Struthio camelus: one gene and its partners. The protein of the gene in region 1 purifies or fractionates together with the protein of each later gene. This does not show direct contact. Links are inferred from orthologs where the notes say so. Each region holds a gene or a part of one and is shown in the gene's direction. Other genes may lie near its edges.

Region 1 (8,051 bases):
GGTGATACTTAATGATTAGAACTTACATAGCATTTTTCCCAAAGTACATTTCGTATAGGCAAGAGATATGCCAGTAAAATTCACAAGTGAACTTCCTTGCTAAACAAGGTACCAGATAATAAAGAGGCTGCAAGCTTCTACCTTATGGAAATGAGGGAGAATTTTCAGCTGAGCAGTGTGTCAGTAAAGGTCAGTATTAGGTAAATCAATGAAGCTGTAGCCCAATATTAAGCTGTTGTTGTCAAAGCTCCTAATTTATATCGGGAATGCAATTTTATGAAACATGATCAAGTAGGAGGAAAAAAGCAGGAGTAAGACGTTGTGAGATAATCACACCTCTAGGTCATTATTGAACATCAAATTGCCTGTAAAGGCCTAAAGAGCCTGTTCATAGAATGAACTGTTTAATGGTTACAAACACAAAACTATTAATCTCTTTTATCTATTCAGCCAGCTTTTGGAGTATTAGACATCAATATATTTACATCTACTTTGTTCTGCTGTCTTTTGGTGTTCAAATCTGACATTTAACTATAAAAAAAGTCGGATGCTATAACTGTATTTTGTTTTCTTTCTTTAAAATAGCAATTTCTGAGAAGAAGAAAAATAAAAGACAGTATTCTTTCTCCACCTACTAGAATAATGTCTGTATCAACAAAGCTAGGGTAGATACAGGCATGAATTTAATGCAAAGTTTCATCCTCTGTGCTTCATATTCAGTAAGCGGGAGTATGACTTGCTAAGATTGTAAAGGTGAAGAAAAAGCATAAACATGTTTTAAATCAAGAAAAATAACTTTTTAGATCGTTTGAAAAAGAGGGGTAGATGCTGGTGCAAAGCTGATACCATCCTAAAGAAGATTAGTGATTCTACATTTCTGGGAGGACTAGGGAGTCCCCAGTAAACCCCCCACGTTTGTTTGTGGGTTTTTTTTTTTTTTTGTGGATCACCATCAATTTGTCATGGACTACAATCCACTCTTACCATTAGATTTTTAAATGTAAGTACAGTGGGTTCCATGGACCTACTACAACCCATGTATTATGGCCTCTCTGCATGGACTACAAATTGGGAACTGGCATTGTAGTAAAGCTCCCAATCTGCAGTGCTGCAATGGAGGCCAAGCTTCATGGAAAATATCCACTGGTAAAATCAGAAAGGGATTAGCACAGGATTTACTACTGTCTTCTCTGCTTCCTGGCTTTTTCCATAGGAAAGCACAATTGTTTAACTTTTAAATAGTCTCTACTTATCAGAGTTGGTATTACTTTGGGAGAACTAAGAGCAGGGTCCTGAGAGCTGATTTCAGGACTATTTCTCTGCTGAAATTAATGGTGGACTATACTGAAAATGGAAATAGTGTTATGCAGATAGAGTAAGGCCAAATAGATTTGGCCCAGTATTTATATAGCATATAATTTGATTGTATTAGTTTGCAGGAATACCGGATACCTTTCTGTTTCAAAAATAAAAATTCTACACTTTAAGAAGAGTATGTGTTGCTAAAGTTTCCTCTCCTCAACTGAAATAAAATTTAGAAATTGTAGCCTCAGTGTTCTATGCTATGTATCTGTTCTTAGTCTTTCTGCTTGCATCATCTGCGTATTTTTCATCCTAACAAAGACATACTGATAATTTTTATTGAACATAAATAATGTGATATTCAAAATATTAAAAGTTTCTAAAATTGTAAGCATACTTTCAGTACTGATAATGTAATTCAGGTATTTGAGTTCTTTTTCCATTCTTACTATGTATCCTCCAAATCCCCCACCCCCTCCAAAAAGCTTCTGAGTATTGTTTTAATTGCTCTTACCATTAAAGCCACTTCAGCTTTTTTTAAACCTGAAAATATATCCTGAATTTGAGTCTGTTTCAAGCACTGCTTAGCATAATTTACTGATGGTCACCTGTTTCTGGACCATAGTTTATTACAATAAAAATGTAAATGAATCCTCTGTGGAATTCTCTAAGATTTCTGAAGAGGAAGCATAGTACCCTCTTTGTATTACAGAGTAAGCATGTATTCTAATCCCAGTTTTGCTACTAACTTTCCTGTGTAACTTTGGACAAGTCACTGCACTTCTGCTGCTTATTTTCTTGTTTTGTAAAATAGGCTAATATTAACTTGCCACCCAGGAATTTGACAAGGCTGAGTGAATGATTGCAAAGTACTCTCAGAACTTCAGAGGGAATACATTATTAAAGTCCAAAGCACGGTTAGCCAAAGAGGATATTTACCATAGGTGCTTGTTTTATGTAGTGAAATAAAAGTGTTAAAGGATATAACCAGATGACCAAAACTGATTTACTTCTAAAAGTAAATGCGGGAGACATTTTTTGACCTTTCAACAGAAATTATATAAGCATTCTTAGGTTATAAATAGCTCTTTGTTTTCCTCCTCTTTGTTTAACATTGAAAAGAAACACAGGGTTAGCTCTTTGTTATGAAGAGATAGGGTAATACTTTGGAGTGGAAACAATTATTCATTGTTCTTTATTTGTACAGTTCCTATAATGTTAGGAACTAGCATTAGTTGCTTTTCTTAGCACTTTATCTTCAAAAAGCTACAGAAATAAAGTTTCTAGTTCTGAAAATGACAACACCAGAAAAAAACAAAACACACACCAACCCATTTCAAGTATGAAAGTTACTTTTCTATTTCCTAGTTTGATCTGTGACTGAAGAGCAGAAAAAGTCAGTGCTAAACTTATTGTTAAACTGGCATATAAACACTTGTGTATTATTTCCTATTTTTATCATAAATCCTCCAAAAGAAGATATGAAATATGTATACCCTTAAATGAAAGACTCTATATAAGCTTTAGGAAAATGACATTGAAATCTTCTGAGGATGATATGTGCATGCGTGTATATCTATATGCATCTATATATGTGTGTGTACATATATATGTATATGCTTTATATTTCGAAATATGCCTATTTCCAACAATGGCCATTTCCTTGGACAATCAATAACTTGCTCAACTAATAGCAATTTGTTTAATTTAACAGAAATGTTTAACAAACATCTGAAGTTATCCTGAAGTCAGGTAATTGGGATCCGCAAGAAAGCAAAAGCATGAAAATGCTGCTTACCTTTTTTAAACTTTTTTATGCTCCTTCTTGTTGTGTTTTCTTTGTGTTTTATGCTCTGGGAATAATATCCTTCACATTAGAATATACTTGAAGTAAATGGCTTTATTAGTTACCGCATTTTGTTTCTTTTCAGTTTTTAATCACCCTTCAAAACCATTCATTTGCTTTGTAATTTTTTTCACTGAGACAAGTGTGATTCCTTGCAGTAAATTGGAATAAATGGGGTGCAGCAAAGAATACAGAATTAGGCTACCTGAATAAAAGGGATTTTTTTAAAAAAATAGCCATGGTGCAGCATTGTCTGTCTCCATAGGCTGTTCTGAAATGCACTGGAGACTGATTCAGGCCTTGATTGCTTCAGAATTGAGCCTGGGGGTGGCCAGTCCTGAAATGACATCTCTGTTTTAATTCCCATTTCTCTTGGTTGTTTCAAAAAGACTTGTGATACTACTCATAAACAGCCCTTGGAGTTTAAGCAGGTTAAACACTTGGGGTCAAATTCATAAGCAGCATAAGACCATGAGCATAATAGAGTAACACAAAGGATGGGTTTTTTTTCTCACTGTTACTTTATTTGATAATTCTTTTATGTAGCAAATTTGTAGATTTAGGGAGCAAATGCTTCGCAGTGAAATAGTTTAATAGACCTTATGACTTCAGTCCATTGCCTACAACAAATCTTCAAGAGAGGTGTTAGAAGTACAGGTTCCTCCATATTGTCTTCCAGTTACTGAGGAAAGAAAGTTGTGTCTCCATAACAACTCAGTTCTGGGTTTCTTTGCTGAAACTGTCAACAGGATGCCAACTAATGCCAAACTGATATCATTTTTGTAATGTGGGCACTTGTCCATGATGAACTGGACTGAGGCCAGCTATCTAACAGTATTCTCGGGCTAAGAATTCATCTTTCAGATGTTGCTGGCTGGTGATAGATTTTCATTAACAGTCAGAGGCCTTCTCTTGCAATCCAGGGTCTCAAAAACTTTAGTGACTTTGGAATGTTTTCTGTAATTAACATGTGGGGCCGGGCTCTATAGACCAAAATGTGTATATTCTAGCATTGTGAGGTGAAAAGTGTAGCCAAGCATGAGTATGCCATATTTCCAGGTGTTGTTAGGAGGAGGCATGCCCATCTCCTAGATCCCTAGATGTTGGCAGTTCTTCTCTCTCTTCATCTGGATGATTTCCTCAGCATAGGAGATGAAAATACAGTGTTCTTAAGTTTCTGCTGATAACAACAATCTCCGCTCAAGCAGAGAGGAATTCCAAGATGAGACATTGTCCTAGCTGAACTCTGTTCTTGTTTCTCTCAGAGATTTGTTGTTAAGACAAGAGTTAGCTATTTAACATCCTTGTTTACCACATGTGCAGATTATTGCATGTGCAGTTTTAATATACTCATACCTTGCAGAATGGCATGGACCTCAATTTACTTGAGTGTTTTGAAGATGAACTGAGATTAATGCATTAAGGGTGTTGTATATGTTCCAGGCATTGTGAGCTTGTGAGTGAGCACTTGGGCTCTAGTATGTATCATGATGTGGGGGGTCATGTTCCCTAAACAACATTTGTGAAAGTAAATGTCTGCATAAATCGCAAAGCAAAGCACCAGCTGTAGGCAGTAAGTTAGATTCCTGCCTTCAGTTCTGGGATTTAGAAGTGCCCAGGCTCCTGCGTACCTAAAGTTAGGTGGAGGGAGCACATCCCAAGGTACAGTGCTGCTACCACCCTTAAACATCCATGTGTTCCTGCCTGGACCCTGCCTTCTGCTCCTTCTTGCAAATATGATTTCATATATTTAAAGAGATCTGGGTTTTGCAGTTCCCCGGCCCTTCTAGGCCTGGCGGTTAGCGTTGCCCCGGTGCCCCCGCGGCAGCACGCCGGCAGCAGGGCCCGGCCCCTCGACGGGCCGTGCGGGGCGGCAGGAGCGGCCCCCGCGCCCCTCTCCTCCCCGCAGCGCATTGGCTGCGGCGGCGGCCGGGCCCGCGGGGCGCCCCGGCCGGTCACCGCCGGCCGTCCCTTCCCGTCCCTTCGCTGGCGCTGGCAGAGCGGATCGCTGGGCGCTGCGCTGCAATGGAGCGACGAGCAGCAACGGCAGCCGCCAGGCGAGGAGGAGGAGGAGGAGGAAGGGAGAGATTAGCGCGGTGCCGGCTGGCGCAGAGGCGCGGCTGAGCGCTCCAGCGGGAGCCCGCGGCCCTGCGGACCGTGCAGAGGGAGAGGCGGAAGGAGCAGAGATGCGGCTGCTCTTGCCGCGCTGCTGAAGCTGCCGGTCGCTCGGCCGGAGGGGAGGCAGGCAGGTCCTTCCTCCAGGCTGCTCTGCGGGCGCCTAGGGTGCCTGTGCAGTCCCCTCCTCTCGCTTTTATCCCAGCCCCGGAGCAGAAGCCTCCTCCGCCGCCCCCTCTCCCTTCCTGCGCTCTTCCCACCATGAGCGGGGCTGGTTTCACCTTATAAAGATGGCGGTGTGGGATCGCTGCAACCTTTAGACTAATGACTGTCAGAAACATCGCCTCCATCTGTAATATGGTGAGTGCTTGGGGGCAGGCGTGGCGGCCCGGGGGCGGGGGGCGGCACGGCAGCCCCTCCTGGGTAGGCCCTGCTGGGGCCGGCGGAGGGGCGGCCGGGGGGCTCCCTCCAGGGGCGCCGGGCAAAGGAAGCGACCGCATCCCGGCCCCGGTGGCAGGGGAGGCGGGCGGGCTGCGCCGGGACGAGCCCGGGGTGCAGCTCGCCGCCGGGGAGCGGCGGTGTCCCCAGGAGTTTGCCGGAGCAGCGCCAGGAGCGGGGCGGGGAGGGACGGGGATGCCGGGCCGGTGCGCGGAGCCTCGGCGCGCAGGCGGTCCGGAGCGGGCTGGCCCCGGCCTGGCCCCGGCCTGGCCCCGGCTCACACGCCTTGCAGCCGGAGCCGCAGCCTGCCCTTCCTCCTCCTGCCCGAAAAATGTTGCGAGAGAACCGTAAAGTTCGGCTCTGAATCCACATCCTCATTAACTCAGTGGCCCCAGTTAACCCTCCCAGGCAGGCACCCTGTGGTCTCATGTGGCCAGGAGCTCCCTGGGTTACACAGACAATGAGGACGCTGGTTTAGATGCGTGACTGTAGGCTTTCGGATCCAGCTGCTAAGTACCTGTTCTGGGAAATCTTGGCTTTAGAGTTAACTTCAGGGTTTCTTTTGCACTGCATGCCACTCAAAGGACCTGCTGTTTGTAAAGTACCCTGGAAGCACTGAGCTTTCTTTAATCATAAACTAGACAATTAGGAAGGAATAATGAAATGTTAATATTTTGTTTAGGTTGAGACTTTGCCACTTTCATCCCCAGGAGAAGTTGAAAGGACAGTTTCTTCTGTGTGCTTGAGTCTAATTTTAATCCCGACTCTACAAACCTGGAGCATCTGACTGGTTTTGGATTTTTAAAACTTTTTGGTGAGGGAAGGGAGAACTTAAAGTATGCCTGTCGAAGGGGTTTATTAATACAGTGAGACAGTAGCTAATTTGTCCTAGGCGTGGGTGAGTGCTAAGTACCCCAGTGCAAACAGAGGAGGAGCCCGTTTCCACGCATTTTGTTGTTTTAGTCTGTATTTTTCCCCCTTATTTCCAGGTTCTTCAAGAGCAGCTACATGCAGTTGCCAGCTTCCCTCCATGTGGTGCCCCAGCATGCCCTGTGCTGGCGATGCCACACATACCATTCATCTGCCCTGGAGAATGGAGCCTACCTCTAGGGTAAGGCAACGCACAGCCCCAGAGGCCTGGCTCCTGCGGGGTCAGCAGCAGTGGCCTGGGGGTGGGGGGCACGAACTGTCAGCCTCCTCCCCTTCCATGTCTGCAGGCTCCCACTTCAGTGGGATTGCTTTTTCGTTTCCACCCAGATGCCTAGAGCATCCTGCACATAGTTCTGACATATACCTCAGTCCTTCCTTCAAAACGACTGCTCTGACGTGCAGAGAGGGAGGGCTGGATTTGCGCTTACAGTAAGAAAAATAAATCCAGACTCCTTGGGGTAAAATAACCTGGGTTCTCAGCTTTCTTCACTAACAGTAAGCGGTTCTCTAAACTTTTCATTGTTCTTGATAGGTTTCAGTCCTGTGAGCCAATGGGCCAAGGATACTGCAAAAAAGGCTTTAGGTAACAGTACTGTACAGAGGAGAAAACCTGGACTCACTTACCTTCCCTTTTAGGCAGGCTCCAGTTTTTATTGCTGATGAATGGTAGGTGTAATGCTCTGCAAAACGCTTCCTAGAGCACTGCATGAAGGGGAGCTGGAGACTCTTTGATGGTTGTAAGACGTTAACATTGGCATAAGGTGTTACAACCTCCAAGATTTCTCTCTTGCATGCTTCAGAGAGATGCACTTTATGTACAGCATATTTGTCCCAAGGCCTGAACAGACCCAGAGCAAAACCAATGACATGATTTTGATGGTGTGCCACTCAGACACTAATAGTGTATCTTGCAAAAGAAAAGTAGCATCTGAGACACTGAGTAGCATGGTGACACTAAAGGGAAGAATTAAGAATCTCAGGCAGAAAAACTCAAGGCAATTCTGGCTTATGATATCAGTACTGGTGACAGTGGGTGACACTGGTTTAACAATAATGAGGTTCTAAAGCTACGTATTCCTTGGGCTTTGCATAGTTTGCTTTTAGAGATTTTGTGTTATGCTGGTCACATTTAGTCTTTTCCACATAACAATAGAGACGGAGACAGGAAGTACTTTTAGGAAGAGCAAAGCTGAGATTTTCAGAAAGTTATAGGTAGGTATTGGTAGCGCTGCATCATGGCTCCTCTATAAATGAGTCCATTTAGATGAGGTGGGGGGCTCCTGCGGATTTGGACTCGAAGGACTCTAGAAGGAGTTATGACAACATTGCATAAGAATGGGACTTTGCAAGGTTAGAGATATATAAGCAAACAATATAAATAAATAAAAACTGTATATTTGCAGTGCTAGTTTGATTTAGG
Region 2 (7,515 bases), on another chromosome or scaffold:
CCACTCTTGTTATTTCAACTGCAGTTGTGTTTATTCATCACCCCACTAGCTCAAACTCCTTAGCATCACAAACTGAGCATGTGGAATCTAGACTAATGAGCTCTGAGGGTGTCCCAGATATGATACTGAGCTAATGGAAAGTCTGTGCCTTAGTTCCTGAAAGCCCCATGAGCTCCCTCATTCTCCTCAGAGATTTGCATGTGGTCACTTGTACTGAAGACTGTACTCAGTCTCTGTTCCTTTTTGTCAAGAGCATCACTGCTACAGTAGGATTAGATGAGGGGGAAAAAGAAGTAAATGGTCTCTCTCCTGGCCAACTTGTTGCAGCATAGTTGGGAGCAGAGTATCTTGTCCCTCTTGTTGCACTTGTTTTCTGTCTGCTAGAGCAGGTGAATTTTGTAGTTGGTCTGGTAAGCTTTTTGCGGATAAGTTCCTCTTCTGTTCTTGGCTTCTCCAACCACCTTTGTGCAGAAGTGTGTGTTGTGAGGTTATTCTGCCTGTCATATTTCTGAGTCAGGCTAAAGGAGATGGTGCATGTACCTGAAGGGTATTCTGCTTGAAGCCGTCCCTTGGCTTTGAAGTACTCCCTTGTGGCGGCTGAACATTCCTGTTGTCCTTGGAACTCTTTCCCTTTCTCTTGCTAAGGGATAGGGTGCTAACGTTATCCCAAAATGAAGGCTGGGTTTCACACTTTCCCCTATCTTCAATGCCAGATCCCTTTGCTTGCTCCTTGACCCTTGGTACATCTCTTAGCCTCTGTGCTGCTTCTTTGTTTTGTCGCTGGAGAGTACTCGCTTGTCCACCTCGTGAAGCGCTCTGAGGACAGAGTGCGTTCAGTCTTTATTCCACCAGCAGAATGCAAGAGTTTTTATCAGTCTGCTCAACCTGCTCCTTGCTTTAAGGTAAGGGGGACATACAGGGAGCAAGATACAGACTTCATGGCTAATCTTATTTATATCTGCATTGGAGACTTTTTAGCTGGGAGAGGTTGAATGTTTTTTTTCAAGTGAATGTATTGTCTTTTGAGCCAAGAGATGGCAAAAAGATTAGTGGCCATATTGGACCTGAAGGGGGAGGAGACATGGGAAGGTCTTAAGATTTGACTTTGTCCAGCTTTGGAAGGGACAAAATATGGCCTTGAACAACTTTTTGAAGCAATAGCAGTGAGGGGGCTGCCACCTATACAGGACCATGGATCTTTAACTCAGAAGATGCTGAAACAGCTGGCACAGGTGCTTCAGTCCCTTCCCCAGGGCTGGTACTGGCTGCAAGATGGAGCAGCAAAGATGGCTTTTTTTAGACCTGCTGGTGCGCTTTCTATGTGTTCATTTTCTACTTGGGGGCTGTGAGGGAAGAAGCTATGGGACTGCTTCCCTCTGTGAACTTTCACTCTATTCCTGTATAGTCCTTTTTCTTTCCTGACGTTGTAATTTGCATTTTACATGAATCCCCATCCCACCTCCTTCACAGTATATTTAAAAAATAAAAAAATTAAAAAAAAATGAACATGCCATTGGAGCAGGGAGCCTGGTGGTGTTCTAACTTCTGCAGACTTATTTTTGAGATGTGAAAAATTTAAATAATTGCTAAGTCTTAGGTGAGTGAGGAGCATAACGGATGTAAACATTTACATGGGATGCATTAGACTTCTGCTGTGTGTATTGTCTTTTGGTTGAAACAAATTACGAAGTGACTAACAATAAAATGAGTCAATATTCAATGATTTAAAAGCTGTGCCTTGTTGCTTTTTGCAAGTACAGGGGGATAGGCCTTTTTTGTTCTTACAGTTGGCCATAACAAGGTCGGACAATGTGAAATAATAAGCAAGAAGGTAGTGCAGATTTTTCAAAGTTTTCTGGGAAGCTTAAAGAGCAAAATGAGTGCTGACAATTATGAAAAATTATTAAACAAGTGATGTGAAATATCCTTCTAAAAGAGAGCTTGTCAGCTAGAGGCAGCAATACACGTCCAGGTGCTAGAAAGATGTGATGAGAATTGAACATAAGAAAAACTTTCCTGTATCTGCAGCCTGTCCTTGGAGTTGATTCCCTCACTAATTAAAAAGCCTCTTTTCATATTCTGTATGCCTCTAGGATGAAGACTGCTGTAATCCCATTATCCATTAAAGCAATATAAGTGCCTGCTCTGAGTTCTTCCGTGTTTTCTAGTTGCAGTAACATTGCATTAGACAATCTTCTCGTGTGCGCTCCGGCACACAATTGCACTTCCTTCTGCAAAATGTGATAGCCTCTGTATTGCCATGTGTCCATCCTTTATGGAAATTCTCTTGAGGCAAAATAGTTACAGAACTATTGCTATACTATTGCTATAATGCTGTAGCTAAAATCCATTATAATTCTACCTTTCTGTAGGGAAAGCTCCGTGAAAAATGGATTTGATTTTTTTTCCCCCCAAGCTTTTCAGCTTATTTATGTAGTATGGAGGTGTTAAGAACTAGATGGCCTTTTCTGTGACTGCCTTGGCTAATGACATGAATTAATAAAAAGTGGCTAGGACTGCACTTAACTACAGTGATGGGATGAGTTGTCTGTCAGTTCCATATTCCTCCAGATACTCACCTGAGCATTTAGATATGGTATCTAAAACTGCCAGTTTGCATGGCATCAAGAAGTCACTCGTCACAGGTCCTAGTTCTGGAGCGGGACAGATTGTTCAGAAGCATTTCCTTGTCATTCCTTCCATCAGGACAATGCTGACCCAGTTATCCCTGTGAGTCTAGCCTTAGCCCTGAAAATACTGCACGGGCAGTGCTGTGCACTTTCAGAGTGTACGCAACACATACGCCTGCAATCCTGATTCTTTGACAGCCCAGGAAGATGGCAGGAACTTTTTAAAGGAAATGTATTAGAACTAAGAGAGCGTTTGGCACAGTAATAATGCCAGTAGGGACACATAATTTGGAAAGCACATCTGGAGTTAACTCTGAAATTAGACCGGAAGTCAATGTATCGGGAAAGAATTGTGATGATGACTTAAGATTGAGCCCAGATGCTCTCTTGAGAGCGGACTTGTCGTGAGGGTGTTTGACTTGTGTCTTTGTTAAAGTTTGGAAACACTGGTGATTATGGAGAAGGCAGGAGGCTTTTGTTACCTTGTTTTTTAAATGCTTGACCTTGTGCGGGAATGAACAATACCCGCCTCAAAGCATTCTTTTCAGTCTGCTAAAACAGCATAGCAGTGAAAATTAGCATGTAATAGTTAAGACTGCCTGGTGCTGATGTGATGGACAGCAATTGCAGGAAGAAGATTTTCAGATGCTCTGCTATGTAACTTCAGCCATGGGAGGCAGGAACACGGGTTTTGCTATTGCTTGTCTGAGTAAGGCTTCATCCACTTAGATGTGAAACTTTGAGTGACTGGTAACAGACACTTGGGAGGTGAGCACCCAAAATCTTGTGATAGACGGTTCTACAAAATACAGGTAAGCTTTTATCTTCTTTCCTTACCTGGTTCGTAAGTAATTCCTACCTCTTTCCCTTCTTAAGAAATAGCTGTATAACTTGCATTAGCGAAATTGCAAAAATATCCCGAGCAAGTTATTTTTGGTCGGCTAATGTCACAGTCCTCATGTGCTGACTTTACAAATTTTTCTGGAATGTCTCCAGTTTAATGCTAATTTTGAAATACAGAAGATACCTGCTTTAATTCCAGGCAATTAAAATAATGGAAAATCCGAATCTATAATCTTAGTGAAAAATTCTAGGGTCACAGTTTGGTTGTTGAATGATTCTTAATACATTAATTTGTGTGTTTTAGCTGTGTTAAATGGAGTAAAAATGGACACTTGCTAAGCTTCGAAGCCTATTCTGAATTATTCTGGGGGTCTTGATCGGTTTTTGGCCTTTTGAACGTCAGTGCCCCGGGAAGGGGGGGACGGAAGGAAGTGCTGAGGCCGGGAGAGGAGGGGGGAGAACGAGAAGGGGCCGGCGACGCTGTCGGAAACCTTCGCTCTTGGTGCAGCGCGGGGTGCTGCGAGCGCCCCCCCCCCCCGTCCGGTCCCGCTCCCCCCCCCTCCCCCGGTCCGGTCCGGTCTGGTCCGGTCCGGCCCGGTCCGGTTCCGCCCCCCCTCCCCCCCCCGGTCCGGTCCGGTCCGGCCCGGTCCGGTTCCGCTCCCCCCCCCCCCGGTCCGGCCCGGTCCGGTCCCGCTCCCCCCCCACCCCCGGTCCGGTCCGGTTCCGGCTCCCCCACCCCCGGTCCGGTCCGGTCCGGTCCGGTTCGATCCGGTCCGGTCCCGCTCCCCTCCCCCTCGCGGTGCGGTGCGGTCCCCCCTCGTCTGGTTCCGCCGCCCTCCCGGTCCGGCCCCCCCCCCCCCCCCGCGGCGGGGCGGGACGGGGCGACGGAAGCCCGCGTGCTTCCGGGGCGGGGCCTGCGCGGGGCCGGTCCGCCGCCGCCGCCGCCGGCCGAGGTCTCGCCGTCCGGCCAGTGATGGGGGAGGCCGGGCCGGGGCCGGGGCCCAGGGCGCCGCCGGAGCCCGAGGAGGCGGCGGCGGCGGCGCCTGGCGGCGCGCGAGGAGGGGGCCGGGCGGGGCCCCGCGGCGGCATCCGGGTGCTGAAGGTGGGGCCGGGGCCGGGACCCTCCGGCGGCCGCCCCCGCCGCGCCGCCCTTGGCGGCAGCCGGGCGAGGCCGGGGGTCGGGTGGGGGCCGGGCCGGGCCGGGCCGGGCCGGGGGGGCGGCGGCGCTGCCCGTCTCGACCTTGCCGGGCCGGGCCGGGCCGGGGGGGGCGGCGGCGGCCTGCAGCCCCGCCTGGCTGCGAGCGCGGCCGGGCGGAGGGGGCGGCGGGGCCCCCCGGCGGGTCCGGGGCGGCACGCCTGCCGGAGGGGGAGAGCAGCCGAGGTAGCACCTAACGGTCTTGTTTTGCTCCCTTGGCAGAGAAACGTGAAGCGCAATGGGAGCAGAAGCTGCTTGAACAGGAGTCGGTTTGGTTCCCGTGAGAGGGACTGGCTGAGAGAGGACGTTGGACGAGGCTGCGTATACGTTTATGGAGGAGATTCTGCAGTTACTGCTTCCTCTGACTTGCGCTTGGTCCTTTGTACGGTGGACACCCCGGTATCTGAGATATGCGATGGAGAAGAGAGGGAAAACCTCTTTCTGCAGCTTCATGGAGACCTGGTCAGGTGAGGGCTGAGGAAGCATAGCTCTGCTTTGAGGAATATGTGCTGTAACATGCAGGGCTCTCTGCTTGTTGTATGCCTACATATGTCATCAGGGTTGATATGGAACAGACAGAGGTGGCCCAGAGTACTGCAGTTCATAAAGCAAGGTCGTGGTGAGCCTTTTGCACATCTTAGTCAAGCCATAGGTATTTTAGCTGGGAGGGGCTGACTGGCTCTCCAACCAGAAATAGATCCGTATTTTGTAGGTAGAGGTTACTGTTCATGTACTTCTTTATTATCGTTTGTCTTAGTGCTGTTTTAAAATCAATAAAACGTAAGCCGGTTAAGAGGCTGTAAGCGATTATTCTGAGTCAGTAAAACAGGTATAGTACTTTGACAGTTATGTCTAATAATGTTTATATGTTAGTAATTTTTTGGCTAAAAATATCTTCTTAAAATGAATTGCAAGGTAAATAACAATTAAAAGTAGACACAGAGGTAGCATAAGGGTTATATAAAGAAAGCTTATGCTTCAGGTCATGCATTTTATGTCTGCAGGTTGAAAATAGACCTTGGCATAGGGTTTAATGTGTGCGAACTTTATGCTGAGTGTATTATGGACTCCTCTAGGTTTACAAGCACCCATTAGGGATGTTAGAATTTAGACTTTGCATTGATTCTTCTGGACTTAAAATTCAGTTATAAAGTTGCTGCTCCTCTTTCCTCACAAAAAAAATGCACTATGATCCTGTTACTAAAGACTAGGCGGTAGAGATTGACATCACGAGCTGAACAGGAGCAGTATCTGGCTTCCAGAAATTGAAATGAAAATCGTATGTTGTACGGGTCCAAGGATAGAAAACATATCACGTATGTTTGATCAGATAGGGGGGGTGCGAGAGGCAAGAGATGTGGAGAATAGGATGCAATTAAAACTGACCGTTGAAAATGGTATTTAGACCTGTTTGTCTTGTCGTGTCTGGGTTATAGGAAACGGAGATAGGTCAGTTAGAAAGCCGTTAGATGAGGATAGACAGACACTTGAGTGGAGCCATGGAGGCAGCTGAAAATCTCCATTCATTGACTGAAGTATTTATAAGGAAATTAGCTTGCTCTGTACCATTGCAGAGAATAGAGAGAGCATTTAGAAGAAAGCATTGACCCCTTACTGCCGATCGCAGGAAGACTGGCTGAATGTATATCTCTCTTTTTGCGCTAGATAGCAGTGCCTGTCTTTGATTTGTGGCCAGCTTTGCACTGGATTGACAAATTGGTCCTGCCACCAATGTTCTGGAAGCAAACACCAAGTTGTAAACCTGGTTAATTCCCACTCGTAAACTTGTTGCTTCATGGTGCGTCTAGCAATTTGTCAAGCTTTATCTTGAGTTTGATGGAGAGTTTTTGATTCTTGCATGTCTGTTGCCTTTGTAATTCTCAGAATATATTTGCCACAAGAGGGATCCCTAAATTACTTCCCGTTTGAGGTGTTCTCAGTAGACAAATGGGAGTTACCAGTGTTGCTTCAATCTCTGTTGATAACCGGAAGCATGCCCAAATGGTACCTGCTTGCATTTCCACAGGAAGATGACAAAATGCTCAAGGTATCCTCATGCTCTGCTGAGATAATTCCTTCCTTGCACAAAGTTTGCTGATTACTTTAATAACGTGTTTGTGAATACAGATTGCTCAATCAAGCATCTGATTGCATTTTTCCATGAGTGTGTTAGTCTCCCAAATAGCTTCTGAATTCTCCACCCTTTTAATCTCAGTAGGTGACTTTCTGTCAAAACCTGAGTATGGCAAAGGATCATATGGTGTGGTACCTGACTGAATGCTACCTGGACAGCAAATGGAAGAATAACAGAAAACTTCTTCTTCATGTATTTGCTTTAAATATTCAGTAGTGTCCTTGTGATCTTTCTGCAGTTCCCTTCTAAGTATGTATGCAGTGGAGTCGGTTTCTGACAGAATTTTGTCTTATTCTTCACAGTGCAAGTCAAGGATCTTCAAGGTTTTCCTTGCTAGAATCTTTCTGTTAGCATCCTTTCCTATTCAAAAATATCCCTTCCTGCAGAGGGGAGGATTAGACAAAAATAGCATGGATACCTTCTTTGGTCTGGATACCCATCGCTACAAAACTTCTACTTAAGAAGGTTTGAAAACTGATTGTTACCAGTGAAGAAGAGCTACACGTGCAGTGGGAATTGTGAAATTGTTGCTGCTTCGTTTTGGCTTTGCTTCTGTCTTCTTACCACTTGCACGTTTGCCTAACAGAGCTGCCTCTCCCACTCAGTGGAAGCGGCCAGTATGCGATACGGATGCGGGTATAATGGGTTGTTTGTATCAAGTAGCAGCTGCTGTGACTGCCATGGTGCCAAGTATTCTAGCGTCTAGCGCGTAT
Region 3 (6,906 bases), on another chromosome or scaffold:
AGCAGCTCCCGGCGCGCCCCGGGGACCTGTGGGGTTGGCGTGAGCGGCTCCCGGCGCGCCTTGGGAGCCGCGGGGTTGGCGTGAGCGGCTCCCGGCGCGCCCCTGGGCCCCGCGGGGTTGGCGTGAGCGGCTCCCGGCGCGCCCCGGGGATCTCTGGGGTTGGCGTGAGCGGCTCCCGGCGCGCCCCGGGGATCTCTGGGGTTGGCGTGAGCGGCTCCCGGCGCGCCCCTGGGCCCCGCGGGGTTGGCGTGAGCGGCTCCCGGCGCGCCCCGGGGCCCCGCGGGGTTGGCGTGAGCGGCTCCCGGCGCGCCCCGGGGATCTCTGGGGTTGGCGTGAGCGGCTCCCGGCGCGCCCCGGGGATCTCTGGGGTTGGCGTGAGCGGCTCCCGGCGCGCCCCGGGGCCCCGCGGGGTTGGCGTGAGCGGCTCCCGGCGCGCCCCGGGGATCTCTGGGGTTGGCGTGAGCGGCTCCCGGCGCGCCCCGGGGCCCTCTGGGGTTGGCGTGAGCGGCTCCCGGCGCGCCCCGGGGCCCCGCGGGGTTGGCGTGAGCGGCTCCCGGCGCGCCCCGGGGATCTCTGGGGTTGGCGTGAGCAGCTCCCGGCGCGCCCCGGGGATCTCTGGGGTTGGCGTGAGCGGCTCCCGGCGCGCCCCGGGGCCCCGCGGGGTTGGCGTGAGCGGCTCCCGGCGCGCCCCGGGGGCCTCTGGGGTTGGCGTGAGCGGCTCCCGGCGCGCCCCTGGGCCCCGCGGGGTTGGCGTGAGCGGCTCCCGGAGCGCCTTGGGGTGCCCCGCTCACCCTGTCCCCCTCTGCCCCCCAGCAAGCCCACGTGCCGCTCTCCACCATGGCCATCCTGGAGGCCAGCACCAAGCAGGAGCCCGAGGCCAAGGACCCGCAGCCTCCCGAGGAGGTGAGCGGGGTGGGGTGCTGCACCCTGGGGTGCTGGGGGGGGGGCACTGTGCACCCCGTGCCCCCCAATGGGGGGTTGGGGTGATGGTAGTGCTGAGGCTGAGGTGGGGGGGGTTAGGGTGTCCTTGAGCATCCCAGTACGTAGGGGCAAGGCGGGGGGGACCAGGGGGCTCTGAGGGGGTCCTGAGCACCCTAATACCGGTCTAGGGGGGGCCTGATCTGAGATGGGGGAGTCTAGGGGGGCCCTGAGCACCCCAATACCCATCTCAGGGGTGTTGGAGCTGGGTGGGGGGGTCCTGAGCACCCCAATACCCATCTAGGGGGGGCCTGATCTGAGGTGGGGGAGTCTAGGGGGGCCCTGAGCACCCCAATACCCATCTCAAGGGTGTTGGAGCTGGGTGGGGGGGCTCTGAGCACCCCAATACCCATCTAGGGGGGGCCTGATCTGAGGTGGGGGAGTCTAGGGGGGCCCTGGGCACCCCAATACTCATCTCAGGGGTGTTGGAGCTGAGTGGGGGGGCCGTGGGTCTCCCAATACCCCTCCCAGGGTGTCAGACCTGAAGTTGGGGTCAGCATGCACCCCTCTGCCCAACCCAGAGCGGAGGTGGGGGGGGGCCCTGAGCCCCCCCATATCGATCTTGGGGTGTCAGAGCCAAGATGGGGTGCCCTGAGGGGGTCTTGGGGACCTCCATATCCACCCCAGGGTGCCAGAGCCAAGGTCAGGGAGACTGGGGGGGGTACTGAGCACCCCCATACCCTGCCCTGGGGCTTTGGGGTGCCGCTGGCTCAAGCACCCCATTTCCCTTCCCCCTGCCCCCCCCCCCACAGGACAAGGGTGCCAAGCGCCCGGGCGAGGAGGAGGCGGCAGCGAAGGGGGCGGCCCCCGGGGGGGGATCGGCGCCGGGGCGCCCACCCCCCCCCAGCGCCGAGGAGCCCCCCGACTTCCGCGACGAGGGGGCCGACCTCGAGCCCCCCCCCATCTTCATCAGCGTGCAGGAGGATGAGGAGAGCTCGGGGGGCGACGGCTCCCTGCTCGACGCCGGCCTCGACCCCTCCCCAGCACCCGCCAAGGTACGGACCCCCCCCCTCCCCCCCAAACCTAGTAGCACCCAGTAGGGTGCTGTTGTTACCCCCTCCCCCCCCACACACCTTTGGGTGTCTCTAATCCCCCCTCGTCTTCTCCAGGAGCCCCCCAAGGGCGCGGAGGTGCCGCAAGCGGGGACCCCCCCAGAGGACGGGGCGGCCGGCAGCCCCTCCGCGGAGCCGCCCCCCCCCGGCACCCAGCCCCCCGACCTCCCAGCCCCCGAGGCACCCCAGGGGGGCCCTGAGGCACCCGAGGGGCCGGCGGAGGGCTGAGCCGGTGGGGGTGGGTGCCGGGGTGAGGGTGCCCCCACCCCGCCACCCCGTGGGGGGGACTTTTCTAAATAAAAGGTGTGAGAGCAGCCCCTCGGCGCCTCGTCTGGTTTTGGGGTGGGGGGCACCCTGAGGTGAGGGATCTGGGGTGCCCCCCGCCCATGGGACACTCTCCCTGTGGCACCCTGAGTGCCCCCCCCCACTTCCCCCCGGGGACCCCCATGGTACCCCCTGGGCCCCCCTTGGCACCTCTGCTTCCCCCATAGCACCCTCAGGGACCCCCACTGCCCCCTGCCCCCCCCCACTACCTTAGAGGTTCCCCCTGCAGCACCCACAAGACCCTCTCCTGACCCCCCCAGGCCCCCCATGGCACCTCTGGCCTCCTCATACCACCCATAGGCCCCCTGGGCCCCCCATGCTGCCCCATGGCACCAACAGCCCCCTCCCCCCAGTTCCCTCTATGGCACTCTGGGCCCCCCCATGGCACCCACAGGACCCCTGAGTCCCCCCATGGCACCTCTGGCCCCCCCATTACCCCCAGCCCCCCATAGCACCCGATAGCCCCTCCATTATCCCCCAGCCCCCCCGGGTCCCACCAAGGCGTCTTTGCCCCCCCCATAGCACCCAATGGCCCCTCTGTTACCCTCCACCCCTCCATGGCACCTCTGCCCCCCCATAGCACCCAATGGCCCCCATTACCCCCCAGCCCCTCCCCCAGTCCCCCCATGTCACCTCTGGCCCCCATAGCACCCAATAGCCCCCATTACCCCCCAGCCCCCCTATAGCACCCAATGGCCCCCCCCATGGCACCTCTGCCCCCCCCATAGCACCCAATGGCCCCCCTCATTACCCCCCAGCCCCCCCATGGCACCTCTGCCCCCCCCCGGGTCCCTCCATGGCACCTCTGTCCCCCCCCCATAGCACCCGAAGGCCCCCCCCATTACCCCCCAGCCCCCCTATAGCACCCAATGGCCCCCCCCATGGCACCTCTGCCCCCCCCATAGCACCCAATGGCCCCCCTCATTACCCCCCAGCCCCCCCATGGCACCTCTGCCCCCCCCCGGGTCCCTCCATGGCACCTCTGTCCCCCCCCATAGCACCCGAAGGCCCCCCCCATTACTCCCCAGCCCCCCCATAGCACCCAATGGCCCCCCCCCCCATTACCCCCCAGCCCTCCCCGAGTCCCCCCACGTCACCTCTGCCCTCCCCGGCCCCACCCCCCCTTTGGCCCCGCCCCCCAGCCAGGTCGCGCCCCGCCCGCAGGGGGCGTGTCCTCTCCTGTCCCCGCCTCCCGCCGGGGGGGCGGGGCTCGCGTGACTCAGCGCGTTGCTAGGGAGGCGGTTGCTAAGGGCGGGGCTCGCTTCCGGCCGGGCGGGCGACGCCTTCCGGCGGGAAGATGGCGGCGGCGGCGGGAGGCCCCGGGGCGGCGGCGGACGGGCCCGCGGCGCTCCCGGCGCAGCCGCACGAGCTCAAGAGCCAGTTCCGCACCCGCGAGGGCTCCTACCGGCTCCTGGCACCGCCGGGACCCGAACCGCGGGCCCGCGCCGGCCCTGCCGCCGCCGCCGCCGCCCCGGGGCCTTCCCCGCCCGCCGCCGCCGTGCCGCCCCCCGGCCCTGCCGCCGCCGCCGCCGCCGCGCCGGGCCCCGCCGCCGCGCTGCCCCCCGTGCGGCTCTCCATGGTGCGGCTCGCCCTGCCCGCCGCCGCCGAGGAGCCGAGCGAGGCCGCCGAGCGGAGCCGCGTCTGCTTCAACCTGGGCCGCGAGCTCTACTTCTACGGGGGCACCGGGCCCGGCGGGCGCGGGAGCCGGCGGGTAACGGCGGGCGGGCGGGCGACGGGGGCACTGCGGGGGGGGTAACGGGGGCCCTTGGGTTTGGGGGGCTCGGTAACGGGGGCCCCGGGGTTTTGGGGGGGGTAACGGGGGCCCTGGGGGGGGTAACGGGGGCCCCTGGGTTTGGGGGGCTCGGTAACAGGGGCCCCGGGGTTTTGGGGGGGGGTAACGGGGGCCCCTGGGTTTGGGGGGCTCGGTAACGGGGGCCCTGGGGGGGGTAACGGGGGCCCCTGGGTTTGGGGGGCTCGGTAACGGGGGCCCCGGGGTTTTGGGGGGGGTAACGGGGGCCCCTGGGTTTGGGGGGCCTGGTAACGGGGGCCCTGGGGTTTTGTGAGGGGGGTAACGGGGGCACTGGGGGGGGTAACGGGGGCCCCTGGGTTTTGGGGGGGGTGACGGGGGCACTGGGTGGGGTAACGGGGGCCCCTGGATTTGGGGGGCTCGGTAACGGGGGCACTGGGGGGGTGACGGGGGCCCCGGGGTTTGGGGGGCTCGGTAACGGGGGCCCTGGTGTTTTGGGGGGGTGTGACGGGGGCCCCGGGGTTTTGTGAGGGGAGTAACGGGGGCACTGGGGGGGGGGGTAACGGGGGCCCTGGGGTTTGGGGGGCTCGGTAACGGGGGCCCCGGGGTTTTGTGAGGGGGGTAACGGGGGCCCTGGGGTTTGGGGGGCTCGGTAACGGGGGCCCTGGGGTTTTGTGAGGGGGGTAACGGGGGCCCTGGGGGGGGTAACGGGGGCCCTGGGGTTTGGGGGGCTCAGTAACGGGTGCCCCGGGGTTCTGTGAGGGGGGTAACGGGGGCACTGGGGTTTTAGGGGGAGGGGGGTAACGGGGGTGGCGGCGGCAGGAGCCGGCAGTTAATGGCAATACTGTGCCCAGCTGGGCTGGGAGCTGGTGGGTAACGGCAGTACCGGGAGGGGACAGGAGATGGGGGGGGGGTAGTAACGGGGCTACCAGGCCTGGGAAGGGGCCGGTAATGGGGCTACCGGGTCCGGCTGGTGTAGTAGCCGGTGAGTAATGGCACCGGGGCCGGTAACGGGGGCACCGGGCTCGGCGGTTGCAGTAGCCGGCTGGTAACAGGGCTGCCAGGGCCAGTGACAGGCAGCGATAGCGGGTGACGAGGAGGACGGGATTCGGGGAAATAAAGTAGCGGACGGACGAGGAGCGGAGCGAACGGGGGATAGCGGGAGCCCCGGGACTGCGACAGGGAACAGGGCACCGGTAAAGCTTGGAGGGGGGGGTGACAGGAGGGGGGAGCGAGCCGGTGACAGGGGGACGGGGGTGATTTTGGGGCTGGGATTCGGCTGGGAAGGGGGACACCCCAGGAGCAAGAGATGGTAACGGGAAAGCAGGAACCTCGGGGCGGATGCGAGCGGAGGGGAGACTGATTTGGGAGCCCAGAATGGGTTCTCCCATTTGCTATGGCGGGGGGGGGAGGATTTTTTTGGGGTGCTGGCACGTTCCTGCTCTCTCCCGAATCGAGGAGACGCTCTCGGAGGGCTGCTCTTTCTGTCAAAGCTTTCGGGCGCCCGCCCCGGGGTGGGGGGTAGGGGGCGGCCCCGGCAGGGCGAGCGGGGCTGCGGTGACAGTGCCATCGCGCCCGCAGTCCCTCGACCTCAACAAGCCCATCGACAAGCGCATTTACAAAGGCACCCAGCCCACCTGCCACGACTTCAACCAATTCACCGCCGCCTCCGACAGCATCTCCCTCCTGGTGGGCTTCTCGGCCGGGCAGGTGCAGTACCTCGACCTCGTCAAGAAGGACACGAGCAAGCTCTTTAACGAGGAGGTGAGACCCCCCCCCCTTTTTTCCCCCACCTCGCGTTAACGGCCAGGCTGCCGCGTGCCTTGGAGGGGACCTAAGTTACGCGGTCCCGTCCTTTCCGCCTCCTTTCCCGGCCCGGAACGGCGTTACGGAGCTGCGGGACACGGACGTCGCTGCCTCAGTCGCTAGCTGGTGTCGCTACGACCTTTTTTTGCGTTGGACAAAGCTATGTTCTCCCTCGGGAGCAGATTCGCTTCCCGCGAAGAGCGATAGCGGGGCCAGGGAGCCGTCAAACATCCAAATTATTTCCTGCGGTTACGGCTGTTTTTCCAGGAAAGGTGCCGAGGGGGACGGACAGACAAACTCTGTCCGCGGTCGCGTGCGGCTTCGTTTCGGGCTGCTCGAGGAGGCTCGGGGCGTGCGTTTGGCGAGGCTCCGGCGTCCCTCCGGAGCCCGGCGCAGCTCCGAGACCCCCTTGAAGAGCGTTCACGGCTCGGCAGGGCGGCAGAGGGCTTCCCCGGCGTGCCCTCCGCGCCTCGGGGCTGACGCGACGCAGCCGGGATGATCCAGAGGGAGGGAAGGTGGGGGGGGGGGGGGGGGGGGAAAAACCCACCTCGCGAGAAGCCGCCGACCGCGATTCCCTCCCCGTGCTGTGCCCCCCGCTCTGCCCCCAGCGACTCATCGACAAGACGAAAGTCACCTTCCTCAAGTGGATCCCGGAGACGGAGAGCCTCTTCCTGGCCTCGCACGCCAGCGGCCACCTCTACCTGTACAACGTGGAGCACCCCTGCGGCTCGGCGCCCCCCCAGTACAGCCTGCTCAAGCAGGGCGAGGGCTTCAGCGTCTTCGCCTGCAAGAGCAAGAGCGCCCGCAACCCGCTGGTGAAGTGGGCGGTGGGCGAGGGCGCCCTCAACGAGTTCGCCTTCTCGCCCGACGGCCGCTACCTGGCCTGCGTCAGCCAGGACGGCTGCCTCCGCGTCTTCCACTTCGACTCCATGCTGCTGCAGGGCATGATGAAGAGCTATTTCGGGGGGCTGCTGTGCGTCTGCTGGAGCCCCGACGGGC

The links.
Region 2: the proteins of USP46 (region 1) and PHLPP2 purify together in Homo sapiens (affinity purification with mass spectrometry; 4 studies listed by BioGRID and IntAct, counting the BioPlex papers as one, with this or other methods). This does not show direct contact. The link is inferred for Struthio camelus from reciprocal best matches to the Homo sapiens genes USP46 and PHLPP2.
Region 3: the proteins of USP46 (region 1) and DMWD purify together in Homo sapiens (affinity purification with mass spectrometry; 5 studies listed by BioGRID and IntAct, counting the BioPlex papers as one, with this or other methods). This does not show direct contact. The link is inferred for Struthio camelus from reciprocal best matches to the Homo sapiens genes USP46 and DMWD.

The regions. Positions count from the first base shown.
Region 1 is NC_090945.1:57,620,092-57,628,142, forward strand, and holds the start of USP46 (ubiquitin carboxyl-terminal hydrolase 46), read left to right. Parts: upstream 1-5,045; 5' UTR 5,046-5,587; coding exon of another isoform or gene 5,588-5,623; intron 5,624-6,690; 5' UTR 6,691-6,731; coding exon 6,732-6,812; intron 6,813-8,051. UniProt on the Homo sapiens protein: Deubiquitinating enzyme that plays a role in behavior, possibly by regulating GABA action. May act by mediating the deubiquitination of GAD1/GAD67.
Region 2 is NC_090951.1:392,186-399,700, reverse strand, and holds the start of PHLPP2 (PH domain leucine-rich repeat-containing protein phosphatase 2), read left to right. Parts: upstream 1-4,446; coding exon 4,447-4,575; intron 4,576-4,890; coding exon 4,891-5,135; intron 5,136-6,552; exon of another isoform or gene 6,553-6,698; coding exon of another isoform or gene 6,699-6,715; intron 6,716-7,515. UniProt on the Homo sapiens protein: Protein phosphatase involved in regulation of Akt and PKC signaling.
Region 3 is NC_090957.1:1,761,291-1,768,196, forward strand, and holds the start of DMWD (dystrophia myotonica WD repeat-containing protein), read left to right. Parts: upstream 1-3,886; 5' UTR 3,887-3,930; coding exon 3,931-4,065; intron 4,066-5,682; coding exon 5,683-5,865; intron 5,866-6,515; coding exon 6,516-6,906. Other genes in the region: SYMPK (symplekin), read left to right, coding at 814-903, 1,731-1,973, 2,088-2,258. UniProt on the Homo sapiens protein: Regulator of the deubiquitinating USP12/DMWD/WDR48 complex. Functions as a cofactor that promotes USP12 enzymatic activity.